Lytechinus pictus: one gene and its partner. The protein of the gene in region 2 binds, or shares a complex with, the protein of the main gene of each other region. Links are inferred from orthologs where the notes say so. Each region holds a gene or a part of one and is shown on either strand. Other genes may lie near its edges.

Region 1 (7,081 bases), on a different chromosome or scaffold from region 2:
AATTGGCTTAACGTGAAGATTTTCAATCGGAGCAATTGTTGCCGGAGCAAATGTCATGGAACCATCAGATTATCCCCCGCTTACCGGGACTTCCCCTTGGAATCTGTGTGTGTTGGATTGTTCCAGTCATTTAAAATTTTGATTTAAACTTCCTGTAGCTTTTTGTGATCAAGTCAATCTCTTTAACATTCCTGTGAAGCACATGTGTGATAAATAGGGACGTTTGTTGAACCCTAGGACTACGGTAGGCTATTTGAGATGTATTGAGGACTGGGGGGGGGGGTATCATCTTGGCTGCCATTCATGTGATTGTGCTGAAATTCTTTACCACATTAACTACAAGCCAGTACAAACAAAATTTCCAAAATTAATTATTTATTATTTATTATGGACAAAATATGCATATATATTAATGAAAAACATTATTTGTATATTTAACATCCAATTTCACCTCAAATTTTCTTTTGTTCCCAGATGTCATCTGTGTAATCTTATCTAAAGGATTCTACAAAAAATTGCAACTGTCAAATTTTTCCTTATGTATCTCTTTGTTTTTAGAATTTCTAAAGTATTTCCCTTTTTTTTTTTTTTTTTTCAGTGGAAATTATTAAAAACCATTTAACAACTAAATTAAACCCTAAATTAATCAAGCAGATCAATCAGAATAAAAAAAATCACCCTTTTATGAATTTCATCTCCCATAGACTTTGTACATGAAGTATAAAAATGAGCCATTTTCGGCATAATCATTGTCTGATAGCCCCCCCCCCCCTCCCTGTCCTTTTAGGGTTAATCTCATCTCATTTTTATTGGTCTTTCTTTTGCCATTTTGTAACTTTGGATTCTGAAACCAATCTCTTAATCATTGACATGTGCTTAGAGTATTGAAGCTAGCCTGTGTAAAAATATTGTTCATTTTGACAATGGAGCTATAATTTGTGCAGTGCCCTTGAAAGTTTGATCAGTTTCTTTTGGAACCCAGTTTATATATAAATTCATAATAAGGCAATAGTCTTTGATTTAATCACGATTAGGAATTGTTTTCATTCATACATGAACAAATAGTGGCAACATTACGATATTTTGCATTTATTTTGTCAACCTTCTAAGATCATGATTTGATCATTCAAATTTTCGATAGATGAAGTATCCTTTTTCATTTGATACACATTTCTTATCATTTAAACTGAGTTTGTTCATTCTGACATGAATTGAAAAGGAAATACTATGAATCCTTTATCAATTGAAGGCTTTATGTCCTCAATAAAAAAAAAATAAAAAAACCTGAATGAACAGGCCAGCATCATTTGAGCATTACAGGGTATGCTTCAGTGATCACAGAAAGGTACAGTAATGACATTTATTCACTTGATTGACCATACCCATTCATGCAAAGATGGAAATGATTCCTAATGTTAATTAAATAAGAGGCTATAAATTTCTCGTTGACATACCATCTAGTTGGTTCTTTCATTCCATACAGAACTAAACCAAAATTTTGTTAGAATAGATTACTTAATATATTATGGGGTTCAAATGATTTTGCAAGGAACAGTATGCCACAATCATCAACAGAAAACTAACCATTCTTCATTGCTCTGATCCGTGTGACACCATTTCACAAAGGTTTTGAGTAGATTACTGATTCTTCTATCATCACCTCCACTCTCTCCTTCAATAAGCAGCCTTTTTCGTATCACTTCCTCTGTAAGTATGAAAAAAAAAAGGATATTCAATTATCATTCACCTGAATACTAGTAAAATTGAATTTTTATACATAACGAATAATAATACTTAGGCCTCATCCCCAGCAAAAGATGAGATTTATCAAATTTAATTTAAACTTTGATTTCAACCCTAATTTTGTCAGAACCAGAACTTTTTTTGGGGGGGCTTGTTAAATTGTTTTCTGAACAAAAATTGTCCCCCTCCCCCTTTGGAAAATCCTAGGTAAAGTGAACAAATATTGAACAGTGCCAAATATCAGACAAAGATGACTTCAAAACATTCTAAACAGCTAAAATTAGAGGCACACCGCATATATTGGAGACTTTCTCCAATATGGGAGACAATCTGTCCTATTGGGGATAAAAGAAACAACACCAACAAGGCAGTTATTCCCTTCCAAAAGTTTGTCTTGCTGACATTAAAATCCCATTTAATTTGTGTGTAAAGAATCTATTGCAGATAAAAATAAAACTGTTTGTAAAATAAAATTGATGTAAATTTTATAGTAGATGGTGAAGAGGAGTAAATTTCACGAGGAATTTGCACATCACAGGTTTGTTTGCCAGCAAGGCAATCCCTAGACAGCTGGCAGCCGGCTGTTTCGAGGATTTTAAAAACATTCATTATTTTTTAAATTTCTACACAGATGGCTCGCGATCGTGCAGCTACCATTTGAAGGTTAACAATGTAAAATCCCTCCAACGGGGCTCATCAATTTCTGTCTTAATTTCATAAAAATATATAAATAGAACTTGACCAAAATAAAGATTATTATTCCATTTTGGCCTGAAATGCACCAAAACAGGAAAAAATAAACTTAAAACGAAAAAAAAAACAATGACTAATACTTCGGCTGTCACGCAACTTCCACTTCCCTTGGTTATTCGAACTGAATACATAAAAATATGGCCATTGAGTCCCTGTGCAGATCGAGTTAGAACTTCGGTCTCTGTAATTGGTGAGTGGAGCCAACGGAGTTCAGCGGAACAACCAATATAATACAGACAGAAGCTTTTGGTCTAGGTAATCCCTAGAGCTGCCTCATATAATGTAAACAAAAAAAAATGGTCTCCCAAAGTGGAGACATTCTCTGAAATTGGATACCAAAATCATCTACAAAATCGATGCAAAGCGTTACACGAAGTCGGCAAAGTGAGAAAAGTGAAAAAACTACCCCTTCTTATCAAGAAGCTCTTATTGATATAATGGGAAGAATTATTCAGGAAGGATTTTGCAAAATTTTTTCCCTCCAACCGCGAGGGTGGAAGCAGGGTAGAATCACAACTCCAACCCATCTGAGCCTCGACAGATGATGATGATGATCCAACGCATTTATATTGCGCCATATTTCTTTTAAAAGCATTCAAACAGGTAGGTGCAGGCTCATCCAATTAAGCTAATTATTACACATCTGCTGAAATAAGTGAGTTTTGAGAGACAATTTGAAGAGCTCAATGTTGTCAATTTCACGGAGTGAAGAAAGGAGTTCCAGAGGCCTGGAGCAATAAATGAAATCCCATATCCCTTTACGACGTTCTGTTAAGATGCTACCAGTGTACAGTCTGGCTGAGATGCTTGAAATTGCACAATAAACTATTAAAATATGGTGATTATTTACCAACTAAAATGTAAGATAATTATTATTTGTTTAATAATAATTTCTCCACATTGTTCTACAAAATGGCTCCTCATAATGTAGCTCATCCTAGCTAGAGGTCTATGTCATAACGAAGCAAGTCAAAGGTCAAGCCTATTGGCTAATTTCAAGTTCGGTGTTGGTGTTGATGGCAATACAATACCATTCTCAGCTCAGGTGAGTGGTGACCAAAATTTTTCGAAAGAGAGTGATTGGAAGCTGATAAAAAGGGCAACATATCTTGGCAAAAATATTACATCTTTATTTGTAGGTATTTGTTTATTTTTGGTGGAGGTCTGATGCATTTTCAGAAAATATTGAGTATGATATGATTGAATTTATGAAAAGTTTTTGGTAATACGATCCAAAAATACCATACACTGTCACTGGCTTAATCTACCTCAAGTGATGTTCATGTAGGCTCCAGACTCCACTCCACTTCAATACAGCTACACTACACAGGTAGGTGTAGCGGTGGTGAAGTGGAGCCTACATTACAGTATGGCAGTGTATCCTACTGCCGGACACCTTTATTTCAGTGCTTTAAAAATGACAATTAGATTAGAGGAAATACAATCATGAAAATTTCGCACTTGCTATTCCAAATAGTATGAAAATTATGAATATGATAAAATTATTTTTATATTTACCAATCATTTTCTTTGCATCGCACTTGCCTCATACCCCTCCACGAAAAACAATTATTTTCGCATGTGACAAATTACATCATGATTGCGGACGCGAGCCGGATGGGTAAAGATATTCTTGATTATAATGATGTAAGGAAGAATTAGTGTGAATTTTTTCTTCATATATCATATCATGGGTATATTCTAAGTTTTTAGTTTGCTTTTTTTACATCGAATCTGAGCAGATATTGGTAATAAATTTGGGTTTGCTGACTAATTTTATTTTTTTTCTTTTTTAACTGCATGTTCCATGGCTACTATGCTTGTTCGTATCGTGACGCTAATCAAGATCTATCGATGCGCTGTCGATCGTTGACGGCTCTTATCACGTTATCACGGTAAACCTCGCGCAAGGGTATACCTTGAGTCGAGAACTAGCTAGCTAGCCGTCGATGATCACCCACAATACACCACACCTCAACATTCGATCGAAGGGGCGCGCAGACGAGATTTAAATTCGTCAAATCAGGCCCATATTTCCGTCAGAAAATATATCAATTGTTCATGCAAAACTATGTTATATGATATTTTAAGCATTTTCTGTCATTTTCTGTTTCTGTTTCTGTTTGTGGTAACTCTCGTAGGAACTCGGCAGGACAGCATTTTGCTGGTAAACGCCAAGCTGGCATATAACCAATTACCTATGAAACATTTTACGTCTAGGTTAATCAGTCATAGTGGCTGACGTTATAGACGACAGATATCACTCTCGGGCCTTTTTATCAAAGTGGAGACAATGGCAGAGTTGGGATTCGAACTCACAACCTTGCGATTATGACTCCAATGCTCTAACCACTGGACCACACAACCCGTACTTTATTTTAGAGATAAATAAGGTAAAAGTTGGATTTTTTTGCCTTGTTTTTGCAATCTTGTTCTATGTATTGCTCTGTGAAATAGAACTGTGCAATAGTTACAGTACAAAATTGTTTTCGTACGCAGTAATATGCGCGTCCATAATCATGATAGTGTCCTGTAATACAATACGCGACTATACACGAACATCAAGTTGAGGTCACTCACACTAGATCTCGTGGTTCATGTAGTGCAAGGTAAGTCACCTCGCACAAAGAGCCACAGTGGATTTCTAACTAGTGGGTCGCGTGTGCTGCGACGCCACTTCTGGCGTCCACAACACACGACTTCTATGGCTTGATTTTTCTGTGCGCGGCGGCACGTAATAAACCCCATGATCAAGCCTACCCCTGCGGAGCTGCATTGAGGCACTTGCTCACTGCAACCATCCTGCCTGTGGGGAATCTACAGGTAGGACTATGATATGCCAATGCAGAACACAACACGCACTTAAAAAAATCATGAAAATAACACTTTTGTGACCAAAAATACTAATTTCCATACAGTTGTAATCTATTTTTTTATTAGTAACTTGGGAATAATTTTTGTATTCACTAGAGCGCTCAAAAACTTGAATTTTGGGATTATTTTTGGTGGAAAGTTTTTTTGTTGGAAAGTAATATGGCAAGAAATTTTTCATTTTTCAATCTCTATTTTTAATTTAGAAAAAAGAATCAAATTTACTTAAGAGTCAAGTTATATGATTTTTTTCATTTATCCTCTTAATCGAGGCATTTATTCACATTTATTCACAATAACATGTACATATATATATATACAAAAAAAAAATCAATTCAATTCAATAATGCAATACTATTTTGAATATCACATTTTTTCAAAATTCAGATTTTTTTTCTTTGTTGATATAAACTTTCTAAATAAATAATCATAGTAAGCTTGAATTCAATCCATAAAGAATTTGCATATTTTTTTCCTTTGAATATGCTTTTTATATAATTTTGATAAATAACAAATTGAACAATAACACAAAATTATAGATTACACAAAACATAGCTGGAATTTTGCAGATCATAACCTATAATTAATGTTTTTCATCTATAGAAATAATAATCTTGAAAATATAAAATACCAATCTTTCTATAATTTTCCAAAATAATCTAACATATTTTCAATACAGTATAAAATGAAAAGTGGTATCAACTTCTCCAGAAACAAGTGGAATGCCTCTGGCCGTCTCACCTGCATCACGCGATTCAATATAGCAGCAGTGCTGATTTTGAAAACTACTATAACTCGCACAAGATGTTCAGTGATACTTGGTTACTTCTATTTCCACGTTTTATGAACTAGACCAATACACTTATAGAGATATGATGGCAATTCAACAAATACCCCCAACGTGGCCAAAGTTCTTTGACCTTACATGACCTTTGACCTTGATCATGTGACCTGAAACTCGCACAGGATGTTCAGTGATACTTGATTACTATTATGTCCAAGTTTTATGAACTAGACCGACACACTTTCAAATTTATGGCTGTAATTCAACAAATACCCCAATTTGGCCAAAGTTCATTGACCCTAAATGACCTTTGACCTTGATCATGTGACCTGAAACTTGCACAGGATGTTCAGTAATACTTGATTACTATTATGTCCAAGTTTCATGAATCAGATCCATAAACTTTCAAAGTTATGATGGTAATTCAACAGATACCCCCAATTCGGCCAAAGTTCATTGACCCTAAATGACCTTTGACCTTGGTCATGTGACGTGAAACTCATGCAGGATGTTCAGTGATACTTGATTAACCTTATGTATAAGTTTCATGAACTAGGTCTATATATTTTCTAAGTTATGATGACATTTCAAAAACTTAACCTTAGGTTAAAGGAGAATGAAACTCTTGGAGCAAGTTAGCTTTTGTGAAAGCAGAAAAATCAAAGAATGAGATCAACAAAAGTTTGAGTAAAATAGGACTAGCAATAACAGAGTTGTGAGCATTTCAATGTCGAGATCACTAATGCTATGGAGATCCTCCCATTGGCAATGCGACCAAGATCTGTGATGTCACACACGTACAACTCTCCCATTTGAACACTGAAAATATACCCCAAAACATCTCTTTTTGCTCATTCTAATCATATGACAAACGATTCATCAATGATATGATGTTGTGAAACCTCTGTACTTGTCATCTCATAAAGAGAA
Region 2 (6,937 bases):
AAAAACATCTTTTTACAAAATGATCGAGGACTAGACTCTAGATCTACTAACAAAGTTAGAGGCTATGGTCCTATTTTCTTGATATGTGAATTCAAAGGGAACGGGTTGAAGGAGTGAATGTCTTTCTAAATTCAATATGTCTATAGCCTAAACGTTATCTAGATTCTAGTTCTTGTCATGCCTGCCGAGATCTTCGGTAGGAATCGAAATTTTAGATAAACTCTCGCCCAAAAGTCTGGCGTGAATTGAATATATGATGGTGGGCCCCAAGTCTGCGCACCTAACAATTTGAGTTAAGATTTAACATGAATTTCTTCTTATTTCACAAAATCTTTTGGTTAATAGTGTTCCTTATATTATTAAGAGTAAGTGTACCAAATTTCTCATTAAAAAATGAAAGAAAATATAAATTTTCTTGAAAAACCTTTGGGCAGTCATTTTCAGATTGAAAAAAAAAATGGTACCCCATGTCTGCGCACTCATTCACTTTGCACACGATTCGGGGATTTTGATGACAAAGGCTGCATTTTGAGGCCGTCACATGAAATGCCCTGAATTCATTATTTTTCCACCGTTTTGAGTCGGATTTTTTTATGAATACCTGTCTATGTAATGCATGTGTAAAGTTCGTGCTCGTTGCGTATCTTCTTTTACTAGAATCGCGCAGATACGCGGGTGCGCAGACTTGGGAGACCGCGCAGACATGGGGGAACTGACCATACGAGGTCTGAAATCGTAGCAGATGGAGATTTACATGTAATATAGCCGCCATATTTAGCTCACGACGATGGAAATAGTTTTGAGTTTTCGCAAGTCGTTTGCTTCCTAATTGTTCACTTTTTATAAACAAAAATTAATTCATGTTATACCCAGACTTCTAAAGATCCCATATAACATCAGATCTTTTGATTTATTTTTGTAAATGAATTAAAATTCAGCGTTAATCTGACAGTACTCACCGAAAATCTTTCAAGGACATAACCTTCTTCTGCCCAGGACCAAAATCCAGTTAAAACCAATTAGGGCAAAACCAATTGAAACCAGTTGGCCAACTGGTTTCAATAGGGAAATTGGAACAACTGGTTCCAATTGAAAACCAGTTGCCAATTGGTTCCAGTTAAAAACCAATTGAAAACCAGTTGCCAATTGGTTCCAGTTAAAACCAATTGGGCAACTGGAACCAGTTGGCAATTGTTGTCAATTGGTTCCAGTTGTTCCAATTTCCCTATTAAAACCAATTGAATCCAATTGGAGGCAACTGGTTTCAATTGGTTCCAGTTGAAACCAATTGGAGGCAACTGGTTTCAACTGGAACCAGTTGAAACCAATTGGTTTCCAACTGGATCCAATTGGAACTTCCAGTTGGAACGAACTTAATTAGTTACAAATTAATTAGCATTTGCAGTAACTATTTCTCATGCCAACACAGAAGCAGTGTTATATGTCTATTAATACCAATGTAAAGGGCATTGATAAAATACAGACTTTCATGTATATATATTTATATGGAAGATCTTCAAATATATGTACTTTTATTTGATGTAATTTGGTAACAGTTAGTGGTGTACTAATTATCCTTTAATCTGTTTTAATTATAATCTATAACATTTATGAACATGGTTTTCACTGCTAAGTATTCTAAATACTAATCTTTAAAAAGTGTGGTACTTGAAATTGTAAAGAATTAAATAGATACATTGTTAATGATGATTAATCTCATAAAACATTAATCTGTGCACACTGGCAAATAATATGCAAATTAACTGGTTTCAATTGGATCCAGTTGGGTAACTGGAAAATTTCCAATTGGAAACCAATTGGAAATAATTTCCAGTTACCCAACTGGTTCCAATTAGAATTCATTTCCAGTTACCCATCTTTCCAGTTAGAAGTCATCTCAGTTACCCAATTGGTACCAGTTAGGATTTCCAGTTACACAACTGAATGGTTCAAGTTAGGATTTCCAGTTACCCAACTGGTTCCAGTTAGAAATCATTTCCAGTTGGAAGTCATTTCCAGTTACCCAACTGGTTCCAGTTAGGATTTCCAGTTGCCCAACTGGTTCCAGTTGGGATTTCCAGTTACTCAACTGGTTCCAGTAAGAAATCATTTCCAATTGGAAGTCATTTCCAGTTACCCAACTGGTTCCAGTTGGGATTTCCAGTTACTCAACTGGTTCCAATTAGAAATCATTTCCAGTTGGAAGTCATTTCCAGTTACCCAACTGGTTCCAGTTAGGATTTCCAGTTGCCCAACTGGTTCCAGTTAGAAATCATTTCCAATTGGAAGTCATTTCCAGTTACCCAACTGGTTCCAGTTAGGATTTCCAGTTGCCCAACTGGTTCCAGTTGGGATTTCCAGTTACTCAACTGGTTCCAGTAAGAAATCATTTCCAATTGGAAGTCATTTCCAGTTACCCAACTGGTTCCAGTTAGGATTTCCAGTTGCCCAACTGGTTCCAGTTGGGATTTCCAGTTACTCAACTGGTTCCAGTTAGAAATCATTCCCAATTGGAAGTCATTTCCAGTTACCCAACTGGTTCCAGTTAGGATTTCCAGTTGCCCAACTGGTTTCAATTGGTTTCAACTGGAAATTGTTAAATTCCAGTTAAAACCAATTGAAACCAGTTGAAACCAATTGAAACCAATTGAAACCAGTTGGAAATCCAACTGGTTTCAATTGGATTTTGGTCCTGGGTGTGCGGGTGACGTCACCTTTTAGATAGGGGTCAAATTATGACGTACGAATTTCAATAGAAAAATACATTATTCATGAGGTAATGTCCAATCAAATCACAGTATCTTGCGAGTACGCAAACAAAAAATAAATGATTCATTAGCAATATGCAAATGGGGGCTTAGGATTCGGTTCAAATGTCTCCCAGGAGGTGTGGCCGAAAGTGGTAAAAAATACGCTTATCACCATGGAGCTTCTATGGAGTATCTGTACGTTATATGCAAATGTTATTTAAATTAGGCTTTTCCGCGGGTGCTACCTTTCCGTCTATACGTATTTATTAGTCTATGATGCATACCTATGGAACGTACTTGCAGCTAGCCCGGCGGCACGGGCGCCGGGTGCGCTATAGCGCAGAGGCGATGGTCGGACAGCGCTCTGCGGCCGCTTTTCACCAAATTGCGGCGAACGGAACGGCGTAATGGAAAGTATGTGAAGCCTTGGAGCGGATTCCTTTCTTCTTTTTTCTCGATAAGAAGAAAATGCTATGCCTTGGAGCGGCTTTCTTTGTTCTTTTTCTCAATAAGACAAAAATGCTATGCCTTGGAACGGAAATTTGAGTGTAAAAATGGGGGTCCCCTCCGCGGCACATACCCACTATGCATCATATACTGATCGAGTGCCCCCCCCCCCCCGGGCAGCAGGCAAAGGGGGTATAATTTGTTGTTGGTGTGACCTCTCTTAAATTACCATATGCATGGGAACGTTTGGTGATTTTCCCTTTTCTGATAACACAGTCTTCCCCCATATCCTTTCTGTGTTTCAACGCCTTACGAAAATTTTGATGAGCCGAGTCTCTCTCTGCAGGGATACGATCTGGGTCAACATATACTGTCTTATAGTCTGCATGTCTTCTAAGTTTCCTTGTCTTAGATAGTATTACTGACCTTTGAACATCTAATTCCAAGCAGCAATTGAGGTTTGGATTTGATCGAAGCAAATCCTTTGAACTTGCAAAGTTAAAGGTGTTGTGATAAATTAATTATCAATCGTGACCAGTTTTTGGTTGTAAAGCAAATTTCATAAATACTAGTAATTAAATTGAACTTGAATGCATATGGGTGAACATGAGTATTAATTTTTAGTGCAGTAGTTTGACTTAATCATGTGGGTGCTCAGCAATGTGTTCATGAGAGTCAGGAGAATAGGGATGAGATAGTGGAGAGATCAGTGGGTGCATGAGATATATGGCCCTCTACGTTTGTTTCTTTTCATTCCTCATGAAAAGGAAAGCAAGACTTGAAAAATGTCGGTGCCCACTGTGAAAAAAAGAAGAATTGTATCAAAAACTGATGATGATCAAAGTAGTAGTTCATCACCGAAGAGAGACTCTAAAAAGCCAGTACTTATCAAAGTCAAAAGGGTACGTATTCTGTATTGTAACACAATTCACTGATGCAGATGAGCTCCGTCGGCGGCGAAATTCGTCTCGACTCAATAAAGCTCGATAACTTCGACCGAGGAGATGGCTTTGCGTGCGATTTATCTTGCACGCAATTGAACAGGTGATAACACGTTTCTGTGATAATCCTCTGAGTAAATTGATTTGTCTGGAAGCGTTTTGGCAAATAAAGATAATTTCATTTACTGTAATAAATCCGCAAACTGTTTAAGCTTTCCATTGGCAATCAAAGGCATAGAATATTAAATGAATCTGTGAGTAGGGTGTCTGAAGCCACACTGAAAAGTGTCGGCATAAAACGGGCTGATTTAGGGGAAAATGTGGCACATTTTTTCGGGGAAGTTCAGGCTACTAGAAAAATGTGAAAGAGAAAATTCAGGGGCTTCTTTTGACAGTAAGGACAAGTTTATATGATCATTTTAAATAAGGATTTAGGCCTAGAGATAAATTGCAAACCCTTATTTTTGTGTGTGTTGAGATTGCCATTTCCCCATGCGTTTTCTATGGGAAAATGAAATTTCTGGTTTGCACAATTTTTTTCACTTTGTCGCAAGTTTTCATTGTGATCTGGTTTCCAAATTTTTATAAAAATCATACCATCAGATAGAGCATAAAAAATCCTATTGAGTATTGGACTCTTTATGGACAAGTTTTTGGCATTAATAATAAATTTATAACAGCTCTCGGAAGCTAAAAATTTGGATTTGTGTGTGTCCATTTTTTAACTACACAGTCTATGGCAGAGAAATGCTGAAAATTGACCTAATTTCATTCTTCTAGGCCTAGATCTATTCTATATCAGGCCAAGTAAAAAAAGAAAGTTGATCGTCCTCGTGTGCATCTATTTTGGCCGCCGCATGAAATTTTTTACTTATTTCAAAAATTGGCTAAAAAATATAAAAAAGTGATGTTTCTCGTCCGCGCCCGCTTCCCTTTTTTGATTGCCGCATCAATTTTCTTGATATTTACTATTAAGCGAAAAAAAAAAAAAAAAAATGGGCGAGTGATTTGCTCTCATGTGCTCTGGGATCTATCTCGCAACTTCCTAAAACAATTGCAAAGTCTGATATCGCCGTATCTGCGATAAAGAAAACAATTTCTGATTTGTTTGTTTTTTTATTGATAATTTTGAAGATTCAATCATGAATTAGCGAGAAAATAAAGTTTGCAAACCCAGAAAAATCACAGATTTCTTCATTTTAGTGCATTTTCGGGGACCCCGCTTCCTGAATCTGAAATAATCCGTTGTGTGCTTTGGAAATATGGCGCAGATAAATCATTGTTAATGATGTAATTTGTATTTCAGCGGGGGTTATGTTGGCACTCGACAGGTGAATGAACTTTGCTAGTTTTCTTGTATGGAGAAATCTGTATTAAAAATAGACAATTCCTGTATCTGTATTCTGTAAACGGATGATCCTCATTTACAGACCGGTACCCCCTTAGACTTGAAAGTCTAATTGTTTCATGAAGCTGTCTTTGCCAGGAAGGCCCGAGATCAGGGAAAACATCCTGACTAAATTATGACACCTATGAATAACGCTGTCATAATTTTTTTCTGTCATGACGCAGTTAAATTGCAGTACCATCACATGGATACATATACACCAAGAGGAGGCGGTGTAGCTCAGTGGTTTAGAGTGCCTGTTTCGGATAAAATCATAGATCTCAACGTGATGGGCTCAAGTCCCGCTCAGGCTGAAACACACCTAACAAAAAACAACGGATACTAGAGGGTTGCAGTACTAGGAAAATGTTGGTCCTGTGTAGAGGAGAGTCACAACTTATGCATATTAAAATCAGTACACTTTTCATCAAAGAGTAGGAAGTTCACCCAGTATATTGCAAATGTCAGCCCCGGCAAACCTCAATAGTACTATAATACACCAAAGGAGCATTAGCAGAAACAAGTGTTTTGAACCCCTTTTTAAATGTCTCTTCATCTTTAATATATTTCTGTCCAATTTCTTGTAAATATGATGATTTTAAATACGTGGGAGAGTTGATCATTCATGGCTATTTAGATTTCAAGAAGTTATTATTATCTGGATATTTCACATGTTTAAGAAAGGTGCTGATAGACTGAAATCGAACACAGATCACTGATACTAGGGATGATTTTTCAAATGGGAGAGAGTCCATACTGTGTTAATACCAAATACCAGGGTCCCGTAACACAAAGGTTAGCAATTAATCGTACGATTGATTGTACATTGTAGTCAATGCAATCAATCGTAGAAAATTGTTCTACGATCATTGCTAAGCTTTGTGTTACAGGCCCCAGAAGGCGAAGATGATCCCAATCATGTCTCTTCTCCCTTTACTGCTTTCCTTAGGAGCACTCTCCATACGATGAAGAGAAGGAAGTAGGTGCCCGAGACATGGAGAAAGATCTTCAGCTTCACAATGAGACGTCAATGAAGCTGAGGAGTTTGATGGCTGATATCCATGCCCACAAATCTCAGGAGCCATCCGGAACTATGAAGGTAGTAATTAATGAAGATGATGTACATGTAATGTAATGAAGACAATCCTTAAAGTATAATTTGCCCAATACTGTGTGTGTCTGTCTGTCTATAGATCTGTCTGTCTGGCATGTTATGTTTAATGTGCTTCACTCCGTAATCAGCCACCATGGTCCTGTAACACAAGGTTAGCAACTAATCATACACTTGATTTCTATGATTAATTCTACATTGTAGTCAATCCAATCAATCGTATAACAGTGATCTACAATGATTGCTAACCTTTGTGTTCAGGGTCCCAGAATCACTTTGGATTTTCGCTTATTTGTCTATT

Evidence for each region. The genes of interacting proteins can lie anywhere in the genome.
Region 1: the proteins of THO complex subunit 5 homolog A-like (region 2) and THO complex subunit 7 homolog are in contact, whole or in part, in a cryo-EM structure (PDB 7APK), measured with the Homo sapiens proteins. The link is inferred for Lytechinus pictus from reciprocal best matches to the Homo sapiens genes THOC5 and THOC7. Residues at the interface, in NP_001002877.1 of Homo sapiens: Pro48, Asp51, Tyr52, Tyr55, Cys59, Leu62, Gln63, Met66, Ala67, Gln70, Phe95, Lys99, Leu101, Asn102, Ala105, His106, Arg108, Leu109, Gly112, Arg113, Gln115, Thr116, Ala119, Lys120, Val123, Tyr126, His127, Leu130, Leu133, Glu136; in NP_079351.2 of Homo sapiens: Ala21, Asp23, Ile27, Leu30, Val31, Phe34, Tyr50, Met53, Leu54, Leu57, Cys60, Glu61, Met64, Gly65, Thr67, Leu68, Val70, Tyr71, Asn74, Met78, Tyr81, Ile84, Tyr85, Ile88, Glu89, Ser91, Ile92, Ala95, His96, Lys98.

The regions. Positions count from the first base shown.
Region 1 is NC_087247.1:45,236,462-45,243,542, forward strand, and holds the start of THO complex subunit 7 homolog, read right to left. Parts: upstream 3,031-7,081; 5' UTR 1,585-3,030; intron 1-1,584. UniProt on the Homo sapiens protein: Component of the THO subcomplex of the TREX complex which is thought to couple mRNA transcription, processing and nuclear export, and which specifically associates with spliced mRNA and not with unspliced pre-mRNA.
Region 2 is NC_087246.1:18,993,170-19,000,106, reverse strand, and holds the start of THO complex subunit 5 homolog A-like, read left to right. Parts: upstream 1-3,856; 5' UTR 3,857-3,982; coding exon 3,983-4,099; intron 4,100-6,474; coding exon 6,475-6,624; intron 6,625-6,937. UniProt on the Homo sapiens protein: Component of the THO subcomplex of the TREX complex which is thought to couple mRNA transcription, processing and nuclear export, and which specifically associates with spliced mRNA and not with unspliced pre-mRNA.